Linked DNA regions of Callithrix jacchus. The protein of the gene in region 1 purifies or fractionates together with the protein of each later gene. This does not show direct contact. Links are inferred from orthologs where the notes say so. Each region holds a gene or a part of one and is shown on either strand. Other genes may lie near its edges.

Region 1 (8,447 bases):
TAGTAGAGACAGGATTTGGCCATGTTGGCCAGGCTGGTCTGAAACTCCTGACCTTAAGTAATCCTGCCACCTTGGCCTCCCAAAGTGATAGGATTACAGGCATGAGGCACACCCAGCCCAGCTACCATGTCTGCCCTAATTTTTTTTTTTTTTGAGACGGAGTCTTGCTCTGTTGCCCAGGCTGGAGTACAGTGGTGCAATCTTGGCTTACCACAACCTCCACCTCCCGGGTTTAAGCAATTCTTCTGCCTCAGCTTCCCAAGTACCTGGGGCTACAGGCATGTACCACCACGCCTGGCTAATTTTTGTATTTTTAGTAGAGATGGGGTTTTCTCTGTTGGCTAAGCTGGCCTCAAACTCCTGACCTTGTGATCCACCCGCCTTGGCCTCCCAAAGTGCTGGGATTACAGGTGTAAGCCACTGTGCCTGGCCAATTTTTGTATTTTTTGTAGAGACAGGGTTTTGCCATATTGCCCAGGCTGGTTTGGAACCAAAATGTTAGGATTACAGGTGTGAGCCACCATGCCTGGCCAAATCTTTGTTTCTTTTATGTAAAATGGGAGTAAGAATCATACCTAACTCATAATGTGGTTGGGAGAATCAAATGAGTTAGTGTGTGTGAGTGTATATGTGTATGTGTACACAAATGTATGTATAGATTTATGTATAAGTCTCTGCTTATACGGAGAGGGAGGAAGAGAGGAGAGAAACTCAAGCAAGTGTAAGAGTACAAGTGAGTACCTAGTAGAAAATAATAAACAGTAGCTGCAGTTGTTAATAGTCTTCTTCCTTACGAGCGAGGTGGCTCATGCCTGTAATCCCAGCACTTTGGGAGGCCGAGGCAAGTAGATCACCTGAGGTCAGGAGTTCAAGACCAGCCTGACCCCAATATGGCGAAACCCCATCTTTACTAAAAATACAAAAATTAGGTGGGTGTCGTGGCCTGTGCCTGTAGTACCAGCTACTTGGGAGGCTGAGGCAGGAGAATCACTTGAACCCAGCAGGCAGAGGTTTCAGTGAGGCGAGATCACGCCACTGTACTCCAGCCTGGGCAACAGAGTGAGACTCCGTCTCAAAAAAAAGTCTTCTTCCTGTCATCACTCTCTACCAACAAAAGTTCATTCTAACAACAATTATTTACTGAGTTTCTGCTATGTGCCATAGACTGTGCTAGGAGTCACAGAAACATCACCCACTCTTCTCTGTCGGTATATCTAAGATCATCTGTGACCTTATTAGCATTAAACAAGGGTCTAAAATGGGGTTTCTCTGCCACAACTAAAACAGGATGCTAAAATAATTTTGAAATGGGGGTTCTGGATTTGAATAGTCTAGGCTTTAATCCCAACTGTACCACTTCCTTGCTTTGTGATTGTGGGAGTCTTCCTTCCCCTCCTTTCCCTTTCCTTCTTCCTTCCTTCCTTCCTTCATTTTTTTTTTTTTTTTTTTTTGAGACAGAGTCTCATTCTGTTGCCCAGGCTGGAGTGCAGTGGCGAAATCTCAGGCTCACTACAGCCTCTGCCTCCTGGGTTCAAGCGATTCTCCTGCCTCAGCCTCCTGAGTAGCTGGGATTATAGACATACACCACCACACCCGGCTACTTTTTGTGTTTTTAGTGGAGATGGGGTTTCACCATGTTGGTCAGGCTGCTCTTGAACTCCTGACCTCGTGATCTGCCCACCTTGGCCTCCCAAAGTGCTGGGATTACAGGTGTGAGCCACCATGCATGGCTGGGAGTGTTTCTAAATCCACTAGTAAGTATTTATCTCTCATGGTAAGTATTCAATAAACATTAGCTATTATTTAATTAACCCAATGACCCTAACCAAGGTTGCAGCCTGAACCCAGAGAGCTACAGATAGATGATCTAAAAGCTTTTTTCTAGTCCCAAGGTCTATGATTTTTTTATATTCAGTGGAACAGCTGTGGGGGAGAGGTTAGGAGGAATGGCCCACAACATTTTTAGGAGAAAGGCATAAAAGCTTTTTGTGAGCTGATTTCACAAGGGTAGGTTCTTCTTCTTACTTTTTTTTCTTATTTTTTTCTTTTTACTTTTTTTTCAGTTCTTACTCCTCTAAATGAGAGATAAATCACAGTTTAGATTTACTCCTCTAAATGGGGAGAAATCTCCCTTAGGGAGAAATCACCAGCAACTAGAATACTACCTTGGTTTCTGGGAGTATTCAGGTATTCACAGACAAATTCATACTCATGATATGAGCAGAATTGGAAAAAAACAAGAAACACATGGAGTAATAAACACTATAAATGCCAAATACATATATTCAGTCCTTACTGAGAGCAGGTGCTGTCTGGTTTTCACAGGAAAGACAGGCAGTGTTCAAAGGCTCAGACTCTGAAGTCAGGCAGATCTGGGTCTGATTCCCAATTTGTCTCCTTATCAGGACCCCGGAGGCAAGTTGCTTTTAAGCTTTCTGTTTTAGCTTCTTTCCTTTTCCGCAAAACACAGACAGCAATAGTACCTAACTAGAGGACTGTGCCCAATCCAGCGAGAATAAAAGTGAATTGTTGTTATTATCTGACAAATGGCACCCTGTGAGTGAGTGACAAGCTTCCCTTGTCAGAAGGTGATGACACGTGTCTTCCCTTTCTGACTTGAGGTTTCATGGGTGGGGCCTGGTCTCTGCCTTAAGAAGATAGGCTTAGTGCTACCCTGGTCACCTTGGGTACTTCCTTAATAAAGAGGAGGGTGTCTCCTCTATCATACCTAGGACTCCACAAAGCTGGAACTGCGTTTCTTCCTCAGAGGTGGGAGCAGCAGTGTCTCCGACAGCGTCAGATGGACCTAGTCTTTCCCTCCACCCCGGGGGCACCCAGAGAGTGTGTGGCTGCCAGGCTATTCAGCGTAGGACCGATTCTCTTTCATCCTCTTTCTTAAGGCCCAGGAGACGCGAGTGAGGACTCTGCGACTTCAGCAGCGCCCCCAGAGCAGGAAGCAGTGGGCTGAGGCTCGATTCTGGAGAACCCCGGGGCCCTAGCCTGAGAGGTCCCACGATTCGGGGGCTCAGAGGAAGTCTTAAGGAGCTCTTAAGGGGCTGTGCGGGGGCCTGGGGACCAGTGGGCGAGCATGTGAGTGGGTGTCCCAGAAGCGGTGTGAGGAGTGTTTCACCCGGTTGTGGGGTGGGAGGTGCGTCCGGGTAACTAATGGCAACCGGGTAGGATGAGCCCGCTCAGCAGGAACTCCTCGACGGCGAAAAACTACGATTCCCAGGGTGCCCCGGGGCTTAGCCCAGCTTTCCCGCCCGCCCACTGGCTGTCGGTCCCGCGAGCCGCGAAGCCCATTGGCCACGGCGGTGAGGGGCTCCCCGCTAGCAGGTTAGTGGGCGCCGCCGGCAGCAGACGTTGACCGGGTGCGGGTCGGGGGGGCCGGGTTAGTGGGGGGGCCAGGCTAGCCATTCTGGAAGCTGCCGGGCGCCGTCTCCGTAGCGTAGCCGCCGGCTGTGAGGCGCGGGGCGGAGGCGGAGACTGCGTGGCGCAGGCGCGTTGCTGGGCTTCTCCTGGGTCCCCAGACAGCTGGAGGAGATAAACAGAGGAGGAGGAGGAGGGAGGGGAGTGCGTGTGTGAGAGCGCGCGAGGGAGTGTGAGTGCGTGTGAGCGCGGGTGTGAGGCGGTGCGCAGGGGCGGGCGGAGGCGCTGTCTGGCCCCGGCCAGGCGCCGGGCGGGGAGCATGGGAAGGGGCTAGAGCTGCTCGGGCCCTCCAGCCCCCTCCCCGGGATCCGCGTCCCCCCTCCCGGGAGAGGGGCCGCCCCCCGGACGGACATGGGCTCCTGAAGTTGCGCCGCCGCTGGTCGGGGGAAGAGACCTGACAGGTACGGGTCGCCACCGCCGCCGCCGCCGCCCCCTGCTCTCCGCTGGCGCCGAGGCGGGGACCGGCTCCCGCAGCCCCGGCGCACTGGCCGCTCTCTCTGGGCCGGCTCCAGCCCTACCGGCCTGGGGGCCTGCGCCTGCCCGCCTTGGGGCCCCGGGTATCCCGAGAGGGACCAGGCCTCGCCGGGGCGGAGGGCAGAGTGGGCCAGGGGCGGGGTGGGGGCGGAGGGCTGGTCGGGACGCAGGTGGAGACTGTGGGAGTTCTCTGGCGAGGGAGAGGTGGAAGTCGTTCCATCATGGGACTTTTTTGCGGAGTTTTTGTTTGACATCTGATCTGGCGCCGGAGTCAGGAAGAAGGGGCAGGTGTAAGTGCCGGGAGGGCAGCGCCGGCCGACCTGCTCTCTTAGTTTCTCTCTCTCTCTCTCCCTCCCTCCCTCTCTTCTCTTCTCTTCTCTTTCTCTCTCTCTCTCCCTCCCTCCCTCCCTCCGTCCCTCCCTCTCTCCTCTCTCTCTCTCTCTCTCTCTCTCTCTCTCTCTCTCTCTCTCTGCCCCCCTCTCCCTCTCTGTGTGTGTGTGTGTGTGTGTCCACCGCAGATGCCTTCAGTGGCCCATCCTGGCATCAAACTGAACTCTGCCAAGGTGTTTCCACAAGGCGATTGTAGCACTCCGTATACAAAGGGCCTCTGCTTGGGAATGGGCTATTCAGTACCCACTTCAAAGGGTAAATAGGAAGTGAGGAGATACAAGAGACTGCGAACCAGCAGGATCCAATTCTTGGACTGAAAGCCGCAGTGAGACACCCCCTTGCCAGCCTGGTTGACTTTACTTGGTGCCTTGTGCTCTCTCTCCTCTGCGTGTGTACTCCCATGGTTTCTAGAGAAGAGTACAGGGGCCTATGACTAATATCTAACAGCCGAATTTGACTGTTTCCCCCAAAGTTCTTTTCTTCTGTGACTTTAACCTCCTGAAGTAGTGGTAGAACAGCATTATAGTTTTTCTCTCAAGTTGGTGACTTTAGGAGCCTGGTAGGGTGGTTGATGCTTCTTCATTCTTTCCAAGGATGGGGTAATGATCTAGGTAAAGTGGCAGTGAAATCTTCTCTTTTTAACAAAGCCTGACCGTTTTGAGAAGAAAACTATTTTGAGGGCAGCTTCTGACTCAAAGAATATGAAATCTCCACCTAGTACACTGGTATGCCCAGTGGTCTGTACTAAGCTTTTTTGTGTCTTTTAGAGTCGGTGAGTGGCCAGCCTCTGCTCACTGTACTGAAGGAACTACTTAATGCTATTTCTGTCTTGAGTTCTGGCTTATTCTTCCATGTGATTCTTATATCTTTAGCGGGATTGAATTGAATTTTTGCTGTTGAGTGTAACAACCGTAACAGACCAGGGAGTGACTATTGGGGCTCCTTTGGGCCAAGTCTGAGACTTACTGAGATTTCTTCATTGCAGGTTGTTGTATTTCATTGGCAGGTAAGAAACGACCTTTTCTGTCACAGTTTGTGATCCTGCTGCTTTAAGTCTGGAGTCCTGCTCTCCTTTCCTTTTTTGACCTATGTAAGAGCACTTATGTTTAAGTCTTACCTTGATTTGACGAAACAGTGCTTTTAGATCAACTCTGCAGAATAATTGAGCAGCAGTCCATATTTCTGCCCGGGACACCTTCCCTGCCTGGCACGAGGGAAAGGGAGAACACATGTAAAGAGTATGATGATGATGATTATTATTATTATGTTAATGGCTATTTACCAGTTTCATACAATTGGCAGTTTTTCTAGCTGGGAGGAGTTCAGTATTGACTCATTGGGCATCTTATGTAGGGTATTTTTTGCACACCTGGACTTTAGGATCTGGAAACACAACTGAAAATCTTGAAGTTCACTGCCAGACATTTGTGGATCTTGAGGGGCCAATTGCTAAGGAAGATCTCGACTATAACTCATTCTTTAATTATTTTCTTTTCTCTCCTTTTATTTTTTGAGATGGTGTCTCACTCTGTTGCCCAGGCTGGTCTTGAACTCCTGAGCTCAAGGGATTCTCATGTCTCTGCCTCCCTAGTAGTGGGACTACAGACACAGCCACCATGACTAGCTCTCATTTCTCCTTTTAAATTAAGGAATGTGGCTCACATGTGTAGTTCTGAGTCTTAGAGGGGAAGTCAAACAGAACATGTAACCTGGTGATACTTGTCTTTTCTTTGGGTCACTGGTTTAATTGTCTGTCCTGTTTCCTTTCTTCTTTCTTCCTCACCTTTCCAGATGCTCCACTGCATCTTTAGGCTGCCATTGCAGATTCCTGGACCCACAAAACCCTTCGGTTGTGCTGTCTTAGCTATCATCTCTTCAGAAGCCAAAGTTCTGGCTGTTGCCATCAGAAACCAGTTCCTTGGTGTTATGTTTAATTTGAGAGTTATTTGCCAGTTGGGATATGTCCTAAAAAGTGACTGACATTTTATTCGGGGCCTGGTGTATCTTGGGCTCAGTGCTAGTTAGTATTTTTACTTTATCCAGGGTAAACTTCATGCCTGTCCTGTGAGGTGAGAATCATTTTCCCTGTGAAGAAACAGATTCAGAGAGATTAAGTAATTTGCCTAAGGTCACACAGCTAGTAAGAGGAAGGATTGGAATTCAAACCCAAGTCTATCTGCTCTATGATACTGAATTGCCTTGGGGACTGTGACACTGAGGAAGAACTGAAAGGACCAAGGGTAAGAGCCTGGGGGAAAATGATACCTCATTCAAATACTTGAAGAATTGTCACGGGGAAAGGAAACTGGATGTTCTCTGTGATTCTAGAAGGAGTCACAGGATTAAATGGCATAAATTCCAAAACAGTAGACTTTGGTTTGATAGGAAAAAATGTAGCTTTCTAAAAAGAAAATTGGCTGCCTTGTGAGGGAGTCAGTTACCCATTGTTGCAGATATTCAAGCAGAGGGCTTGCCACATCTTTTAAAACATTTTTTAAAATTTTTATTTTATTGAGACAGAGTCTCACTCTATTGCCCAGGCTGAAGTGCAGTGGCGTGATCTCGGCTCACTGCAACCTCTGCCTCCTGGGTTCAAGCAATTCTTCTGCCTCAGCCTCCTGAGTAACTGGGACTACAGGCATGCGCTACCATGCCTGGCTAATTTTTGTATATTTAGTAGAGATGTGGTTTCACCATATTGGCCAGGCTGGTCTCAAACTCTTGACCTCATGATCTGCCTGCCTTGGTCTCCCAAAGTACTGGGATTACAGGCATGAGCCACCACACCCACCCTTTTTTTTTTTTTTTTGAGACAGAGTTTCACTTCGTCACCCAGGCTGTGGTACAGTGGCCTGATCTCAGCTCACTGCAATCTCTGCCTCTTGGGTTCAAATGATTCTCATGCTTCAGCCTCCTGAGTAGCTGGAATTACAGGCATGTACCACCACGCCTAGCTAATTTTTGTAGTTTTGTAGAGACAAGGTTTCACCATCTTGGCCAGACTGGTCTTGAACTCCTAACCTCAGATAATCCACCTGCCTCCACCTCCCAGAGTGCTGAGATTATAGATGTGAATCACTGAGCCCAGCCCTGGCTAATTTTTTGTGTTTTTAGTAGAGACAGTGTTTTGCCATATTTCCCAGGCTGGTCTGGAACTCCTGAGGTCCACCTGCCTTATCCTCCCAAAGTACTAGGATTATAGGTATGAGCCACTACTCCCGGCTTTTTTTTTTTTTTTTTTTTTTTTGAGACAGGGTCTCACTCTGTTGGCCAGGCTGGAGTTCAGTAGTGCAGTCCTGACTCACTGCAACCACTGCCTCCTGGGCTCAAGTGACCCTCCTGCCTCAATGTCCCGAGTAGATGGGAATACAGGTGCATGCCATCACACCTTGCTATTTTTTTTTTATTTAAAGACAGGGTTTCACCATGTTGGTCAGGCTGGTCTTGAACTCCCGACTTCAGGTGATCTACCCGCCTTGGCCTCCAAAGTGCTTGGATTACAGGCGTGAGCCACTGCACCCGGCCACTAATTTTTAAATTTTTTTGTAGAGACGGGGTTTCACTGTGTTGCTCAGGCTGCTCTCAAACTCCTGGGATCAAGCAATCTGCCCACCTTGGCCTCCCAAAGTTCTGAGATTACAGGTGTGAGCCACCATGTCCAGCCTCCCTGTCTGTCTGATCTGTAAAAACTGACATGGCTGGGCACGGTGGCTCTACTCTACAAATGAGAAACTGAGACTCTAGAAAGTTAAGGAATAAGCTGGAGGTTACACAACTAGTAGTGATAGGGCTGATATTTGAACCCATGCCTGCTCCTTCTTAGCTCTGTGACCTAGGGTAAATCATTTATCCTCTCAAAGCTATAGTTTCACCTATGTTACAGTGGGTTCATGAGAACTAAATAATGAAATACATCCTTTTTACTAGACCTCATTGATTGCCCTCAAGAGCCAGGACTTGGGTGTAAAGGGGTACCACTTAGTTGGCTTCTTCTGGGTAAACTCAGGCCTAAGTGCAACCCTGAGAGTTCTGGGGCCCATTATTTGTGCTATTAGTAATAGTGCTGACTCCTTGAAGGGCTTTGTGGTGTTAGTGACTAATACCTTAAAAACTTTAAGCCTAGGCTGGGCTCAGGTGGCTCATGCCTGTAATCC
Region 2 (6,956 bases), on another chromosome or scaffold:
TATAGCAAAGCTACTTACTTTTTTTACGTACAGTTAACTTGGTGAATTCTTTCTTCAGTAGCTGCTTTCCATTCGCTCCTCTGAGATGACCTGGGTATGCAATCATCTAATCTGCAAACAATTTCACCTTTTCTTTCCTAGTTTACAACTTCTTGCTTGTCTAAGGGCTGGTTCTTTTTCCATTATTTCCTCCACACTATTTGGTTTACCACACTGATCTTTAACAATAAAATATTAAATACTGCTAAATAAGAGGATAGAAACAAATATAATTTCCTTTCTTTTTAAAAATACAAATAGGCAGGCTGGGCGTGGTGGCTCATGCCTGTAAATCCCAGCACTTTGGGAGGCTGAGGTGGGCAGATCACCTGAGGTCAGGAGTTCAAGGCCAGCTTGGCCAACATGGGAAACCCCATCTCTATAAAAATACAAAACTAAGCTGGGCATGATGGCGGGTGCCTGTAATCCCAGCTACTCGGGAGGCCGAGGTGGGAGAATTATTTGAAACCGGGAGACAGAGGGGTGAGCCAAGACTGTGCCATTGCACTCCAGCCTAGGCAACAGAGCAAGACTCCATCTCAAAAAAAAAAAAAAAAAAAAAAAAAAGATAAAATAAAAAATAAAATAAATAGAAACAGGATCTCCCCATGGTGCACAGGATGGTCTGGAACTCAGGCGCAAACGACCCTCCCGCCTTGCCCTCCCAAAGCTGGGATTACAGGCATGAGCCACTGTGTCTGAATGAAACAAAACAGAATTAAAGGCACAGTACAATGAATCATCAGAGTGAAGAGAGACCCATTTGCCAACGGCGGTTTGTGGTACAGGTGACCGGGAAAGAAAAATCACTTGAGAAGGGACAGGTGCTCATTGCTCCTGACTTCTGTCTGGACCACTAGTAGTCAAAGCCGCTGAAGAGTTAGGAAGAATGTGTTGTTTGCATATCACAAAATTTTATTAATGTAATTTTAAGGCCAATCAAACTGATTTTATTCAGAGTAAGTCTACATTAAATTACAATATTAATCACTAGGCACAATGAACTTATATAAGAAATAAAAATAGAAATCTGGTCTTTCTCAGACCACATATCATAGAATAAATGAAAATCCTCAAAGATAGAAATGACAATTAAAGAGTGAGGATTTTAATACAGAAATGCACAAGGTGTCATATTTCAAACCCGCATGTTTCAAAAAGGGAATCTTTTAATAATTTAGCACAAAATCAAATTATATAAACTTGGTATATTCCAGAAAATATTGCTTTAAACATTTATGCCATGGTCAAAATTCCTTTGGTAGCTTTTAATCAAAATGAAACATGCTATTATGTAAAATATAAAGTACTTTTAAATGTTATCTCAAAAGCATCTGTCACAGTTACCATTCTACCATCACTACTGAACTTCCATTTCACTGTTCAACCTCATGTACATACACAACACAAAACCAGGTACCCACAAAAGCCCTTTAATCTTCTGACAAAATACCCTCTGTTTCACAACATCAAGGCTAAGTCTCCATAAACTTTTACAGTTTACAGCAGAGAACAAGGATCGTCCCTGCACATGACTGTGAAACCAAACCAAACTTTTAATGATTGCAATCATACAAATACTGAAATTTAAAAAAAATCAAAGAGCAGTTACCCCAATGCAAAAAAACAAAAACAAAACAGGGACCGCCAGACTCAATCTTGGCGTGGAAACAAACACACGAGCCCCAAACCCTTAAACAGAGATCCACAAGCAACTCAGCTGAAACGAAAAGATGCAGCAGGGTGGACACCACGGCCTTGGCACCTCAGGGAGCTCACTTAGAAACCGGACTTGCAAAAAACCAGCCATCGAAGTTTAAAACTTTTAGAAATACATGACACAGAGGGGCCAGTGGCTAGGATGCACCATCCATCTTGCCAGCTTCGAACCCTCGCCCTTCCTAATGTTCACCCACAAAGGGTCCTTGTTTTCACTCTAAACGCCGATCATCTGAGCGAGCTTATCTTCAGGGGTACCTAGGGAATCTTTAGAGCTAAAAAATGCAGCATCTAGGGTCTTCTTCATTGTGCATTCATGATCACACAAGAACAAACTTTCAGCTTTTTGACACAAGAACAAGACCTTTTAAAGGAACTTCTTTTTAGCAGTATCTTCTTGTCCAATCTCAAAGTTGTTTTGCAGAGTAACAGAAACAATTTAAATGCCTAAAAGAACTAGAGGAAAAACCAGAGGAAAAAAAGACACATCTGCCAGTTGAAGTCTTGAGCCTTGTGAAGGATGACCCAGGAGGAGTCACTTTCCTTCTTTCTTTCAATGTCCACAGCGGGATCAATTACAGAGTCCTGGAAATGGCACAGGTGTGCTTCCCTGCTCTGAGGGTACATTCTAGTGTTTCATGAACGGGAACTGTCTGCAGATGCATCAGGCCACGTAGTGGTACTGATTCGGATTGTCTCTGTCTCTCTCCATATAGTCTCTGTCTATCAGAGATTCAATTCTCTTTTTCAAATCTCCAGGCTAAAAAAGAAAAATAAAACAATCTCCCTAATTATAGTGGCAATAAATTTACAAACATAGGGGTATATGCAGGAAGTATATAATTGTAATTACTAAAATATATATACAAATAGACATTTATATATAAATCATTTATAATTATGCACATTTATAAAAGTAATACAATTGTCTATTTCAAAGTTAAGGTTACCTCTAGATGAAAAATGTGTCCATGTGAGTTTATGGTCAGAGTGTGCCTTCCTGAGGGAAATGTGAAACTTGTGAAATATACATATATCATCTACCATCATAAACAGGACATAAGCAAGGTAGAGCCCATCACATGACACGTTTTTGTTTGTTTGAAAGGAAAAATCTCATCATGTTTTATTGGGGCATTTTTTTTTTTTTGAGACAGAGTCTGGTTCTGTCACCCAGGCTAGCGTGCAGTGGCACGATCATGGCTCACTGCAACCTCCACCTCTGAGTTCAAGTGATTCTCCTGCCTCAGCCTCCCAAGTAGGTGGGATTACAGGAGCCTGCCACCATGCCCACCTATTTTTTGTATATTTAGTAGAGATGGGGTTTCACTGTGTTGGCCAGGCTGGTCTTGAACTCCTGACCTTGTGATCTACCTGCATCGGCCTCCCAAAGTGCTGGGATTAAGCATGAGCCGCCTGGCCTTATTGGGGCATTTTTATCCTTTGTCAGGATGCTTCTGCCTAAGTACCCTATTTTATTAATGTATTTATTTATTTTGAGATAGAGTCTCATTTTGTTGCCCAGGCTGGAGTGCAGTGGTGCCATCTCAGCTGACTGCAGCCTCAACCTCCTGGACTCAAGCAATCCTCCATTTCAGCCTCCCCAGTAGCTGGGGCCACGGGTGCACACCACCATGCCTGGCTAATTTTATTTTTTGTAGTGAAGGGGGTCTCACTATGTTGCCCAGGCTGGGCTCAAGCAAGCTGCCTGCCTCAACCTCACTGGTGTGAGCCAGCGCACCCAGCTGTATTTCTATTATGTATTTCTATAGTTATTACACGCTATGTCTACATACGTGAAACTACAACCCCAGGTGCTCCTGTGCTAAAAGCAGGTAACTGACTAGACAAATCCACAGCCATGCTTGTCTCTGCCCAGGAGGGCGCCCACTCCAGCTTTGCTGTATGAGGAAGCACATCTGTGTGAGCACTTATGTGCAAGGTTCTCCTATACAAGGGAGACCCACTATTTTCCAAACAAACATAACCTTCTATTCAGTGATAAGCCACATATTTTACAAGATGTGGCTGAAAACCTAACTATCTGTGAGAGCACAGCAGGCGCCCTGGTTGGCCACATTCTGCCCTCGCCTGCCTTCTGCTTCATGCTGGGCCTGGCTGTTCAGAGTGGGAACAGGAGATGTGCTCCAGCTGGTGGGAGGAAGGGGCAGCATCCCTGACGGTGCTTCCGAAGCTGCGCAGAACCCTGAGGATGCCTCACCCCTGCAGGGAAGGAGGCAAGCGCAGGCTGATGGACAGTGGCACTTCCATCACTCTTACGTGTCTGACTATTTAGTGTATCCAGACTTTATTCTGCTGGGGGCGTCAAACTGCACAACGTGGCATCTGGGGACTTTCCCTCCAAAGCACGTGTGGCTGATCCAGTCCCTGAGGGGGTAGGTGTCATCAGAGTTTGGGATTTTCTAGGTTGATAAATACAGGTAAAAACATTTTGTAGTACTTTTCTGGCTTATCCTGCATCCCACATGTGGCAGGAGAGTAAATCTCTGTTCTAAATACACAGTGCAGATTGACAGGTCTGGGCCATTTTCGTAAGCAACAGCGACAGTGGACTGTTACCGTGGTAGAAAATGCTGGGCAACCTGTACTCGCTGAATAAATTAGTTATTGTCACCATTTCCTTACAATCTTGTGATGTAACCTTGACTGCTGCTACTATAAGAAAAGTGTTGAGCTTTCCATGTTTTATCTTCCTGTCCCCTTCTTGAGAATATGAACAAGCGCACTATCCCTGGGAAGGAGAGTTTTAGGACACTATTATTTCCACAGTGGCAACGAACGACATCTGGAGTAAGGGTATTCACATTCACCAGTCTTTCTACATTCAGTGTACACACAAATGATCACAAATAATGCAGGTCAAATCATATGACTGAACAGTGAGAATTAAACGCGCTTTGTCAATTACCTAGCATAATACTACAAATTTAATTATGCTAATGCTACATTTACCTTGACTGGAAATTTCAGCTGATTATATAATTCAGAAACTAGAAGATTATGACCAAGGGTCTTTCTCATCTTCATTATTCTGACGATAGCAGCATCAATCTGATATTGTCTATCCTGAAACACTCTCTCAGTGGTGCTAACTTGTTCCTCAACCTGTAAAAAAAAAAGAAAAAAAAAGTTAAGTGCAAAGCTATATTTTCTTTCTTTTTTTTTTTTGAGATGGAGTCTTGCTCCGTCGCCCAGACTGGAGTGAAATGGTGCAACCTCTGCCTCCCGGGATCAAGCAATTCTCCTGCCTCAGCCTCCTGAGTAGCTAGGACTACAGGCACCCACCATCATGCCTGCCCACTTTTTGTATTTTTGTAGAGACGGAGTTTCACCATGCTGCCCAGGCTGGTCATGAACTTCTGACCTCAGGTGATCTGCCCTCCTCGGCCTCCCAAAGTGCTGGGATTACAGATGTGAGCCACTGTACCCAACCTATATTTTCAAAATTAATGATTTATGTTACCAAATATGATGAGAAATGCTCTTCTGATGCAAAGAAAGGTCAGATATTGGATGAATTCTACTTTATTATGCAGGTTTATTTGTTCTAGTAAAATGTACCTTCCCAGAATAGCAAAACTCCCAAACCGAAGCTTAGAAAATATTTTTAAAAGTTATATTTTCCTTGAAAGAAGCTGTAACAACTCTTATATGATGTAGATTAAAACTAGCAGCACAGTAAACAAAACAAAGCATAAGACCATCAGGATATATTCCAGAAATGTAAGCGCTGATCAACATTAGGAAATCTGAGAATATAAGTGAGGGCACTGTCACAGTTGAAAGGTTAGATTATATGACCATCTTGATAGATGCTGGAAAAGGCATGAGCAAATTGAAAACTGACTTTTGATTTAAAATAAACATTAGCCTACAAGGATGAATAAAAAAGGACAGAATCTGAACGTGAAGTGTGGTTATCAGAAACAAACAGCAACTACTAGAGGCAACTTAACCTCAGTCAAATAGGAACCTGACGGGCTGTGGTCTGCAGCTGAAATCAGGGTTGGCGGAAGGTCTATGCATACATGTGAGGCAAGTATGCTTCAGCACAGGACGGGCTCCAAGCTTTCATCACATTTTCAACAGGATCCACGACCCCCAAAAGTTAATATTCTCTGAGCCAGAGATAAAATTAGGAAGCTTAGTTGCACTGCTAATCTTTAAAAACGTGACTTTAAAGGTTCTAACTACGCAATACGAGAACAGACTAAAGAGGTATATTGAAAAAGTGTAGAAAAAATGATCATTATTTACAGATGAGCTGGAAAATCCAAGAAAATCAACAGAAAAACTTTCAAAGCAAACGAGTTTTGTAAAGTGGCTGGAAATAAAATAAATAAATAAATAGCATTAATATATACATTCTGATAAAAACTGTCAGAAATATAAAGAAAAAAGACCCGCTTTATAAGAGATCAACATTTCATTCGCCTGTCTTGCTTAAAACTAATGGTTTTCCAAACGCTTCACAGGTCTGAGCCATCTCCAGAGGGTCCAGCTATGGCTGCCTAGTTAGACCTGTCTGACTCAGCTTCCGCTTCTGGCAATGCTGCTGCAGCCAGAGGCCTTTCAGTTCCTGAGCAAAACCAGTCATTTCTCAGGAAAGCCTTGGCTGACCCTAGTATTTGATTAGGCTCTGCTGCACCTCTCTGCCCTAACATTTTCCTCCACTCTTACAGGTTAGTCAATGTGTGTGATCCTCTGCAACCTCTCTGCCAGAAAAGACTCAACGCACCCAGAAACAAGGACTTATTCTTTATTGTTAATGAATGAACTCTCAGTGCTTCATAGAGGACCTGGCTCACCACAGATGCTCAGTATTTGTTGAACGAATTAAAATTTATAACTAGCAAGAAATATGCACGACTAAAACTAGAAAGCTCTGAGAAAGAGAAAAGGTTTGCATATACATTTTATACATACACATATGTACGAATCAGAACATGTAACATAAAGAAAAACTGCAAATTAATGCAGTAGGTATTTAAAATGTTAATGTTCTTATTTAGGGGAGCAAAGACATGATACAATTATTGTGAAGTTCATTGGGAGAATAAAGCTAAAAGAATAGCTACATTATTAAAAGAATCTGGTGCCAGGCATGGTGGCTCATGCCTGTAATCCCAGCACTTCCGCACTTCGGGGGGGGGGGTGGTCAACGTAGGAGGACTGCT

What was found. The genes of interacting proteins can lie anywhere in the genome.
Region 2: the proteins of WDTC1 (region 1) and CUL4A purify together in Homo sapiens (affinity purification with mass spectrometry; 10 studies listed by BioGRID and IntAct, counting the BioPlex papers as one, with this or other methods). This does not show direct contact. The link is inferred for Callithrix jacchus from reciprocal best matches to the Homo sapiens genes WDTC1 and CUL4A.

Annotation. Positions count from the first base shown.
Region 1 is NC_133508.1:63,901,506-63,909,952, forward strand, and holds the start of WDTC1 (WD and tetratricopeptide repeats protein 1), read left to right. Parts: upstream 1-3,304; 5' UTR 3,305-3,336; exon of another isoform or gene 3,337-3,499; intron 3,500-3,509; exon of another isoform or gene 3,510-3,830; intron 3,831-4,421; exon of another isoform or gene 4,422-4,618; intron 4,619-8,447. UniProt on the Homo sapiens protein: May function as a substrate receptor for CUL4-DDB1 E3 ubiquitin-protein ligase complex.
Region 2 is NC_133502.1:28,718,614-28,725,569, reverse strand, and holds the end of CUL4A (cullin-4A), read right to left. Parts: intron 4,885-6,956; coding exon 4,732-4,884; intron 2,519-4,731; coding exon 2,423-2,518; 3' UTR 937-2,422; downstream 1-936. UniProt on the Homo sapiens protein: Core component of multiple cullin-RING-based E3 ubiquitin-protein ligase complexes which mediate the ubiquitination of target proteins. As a scaffold protein may contribute to catalysis through positioning of the substrate and the ubiquitin-conjugating enzyme.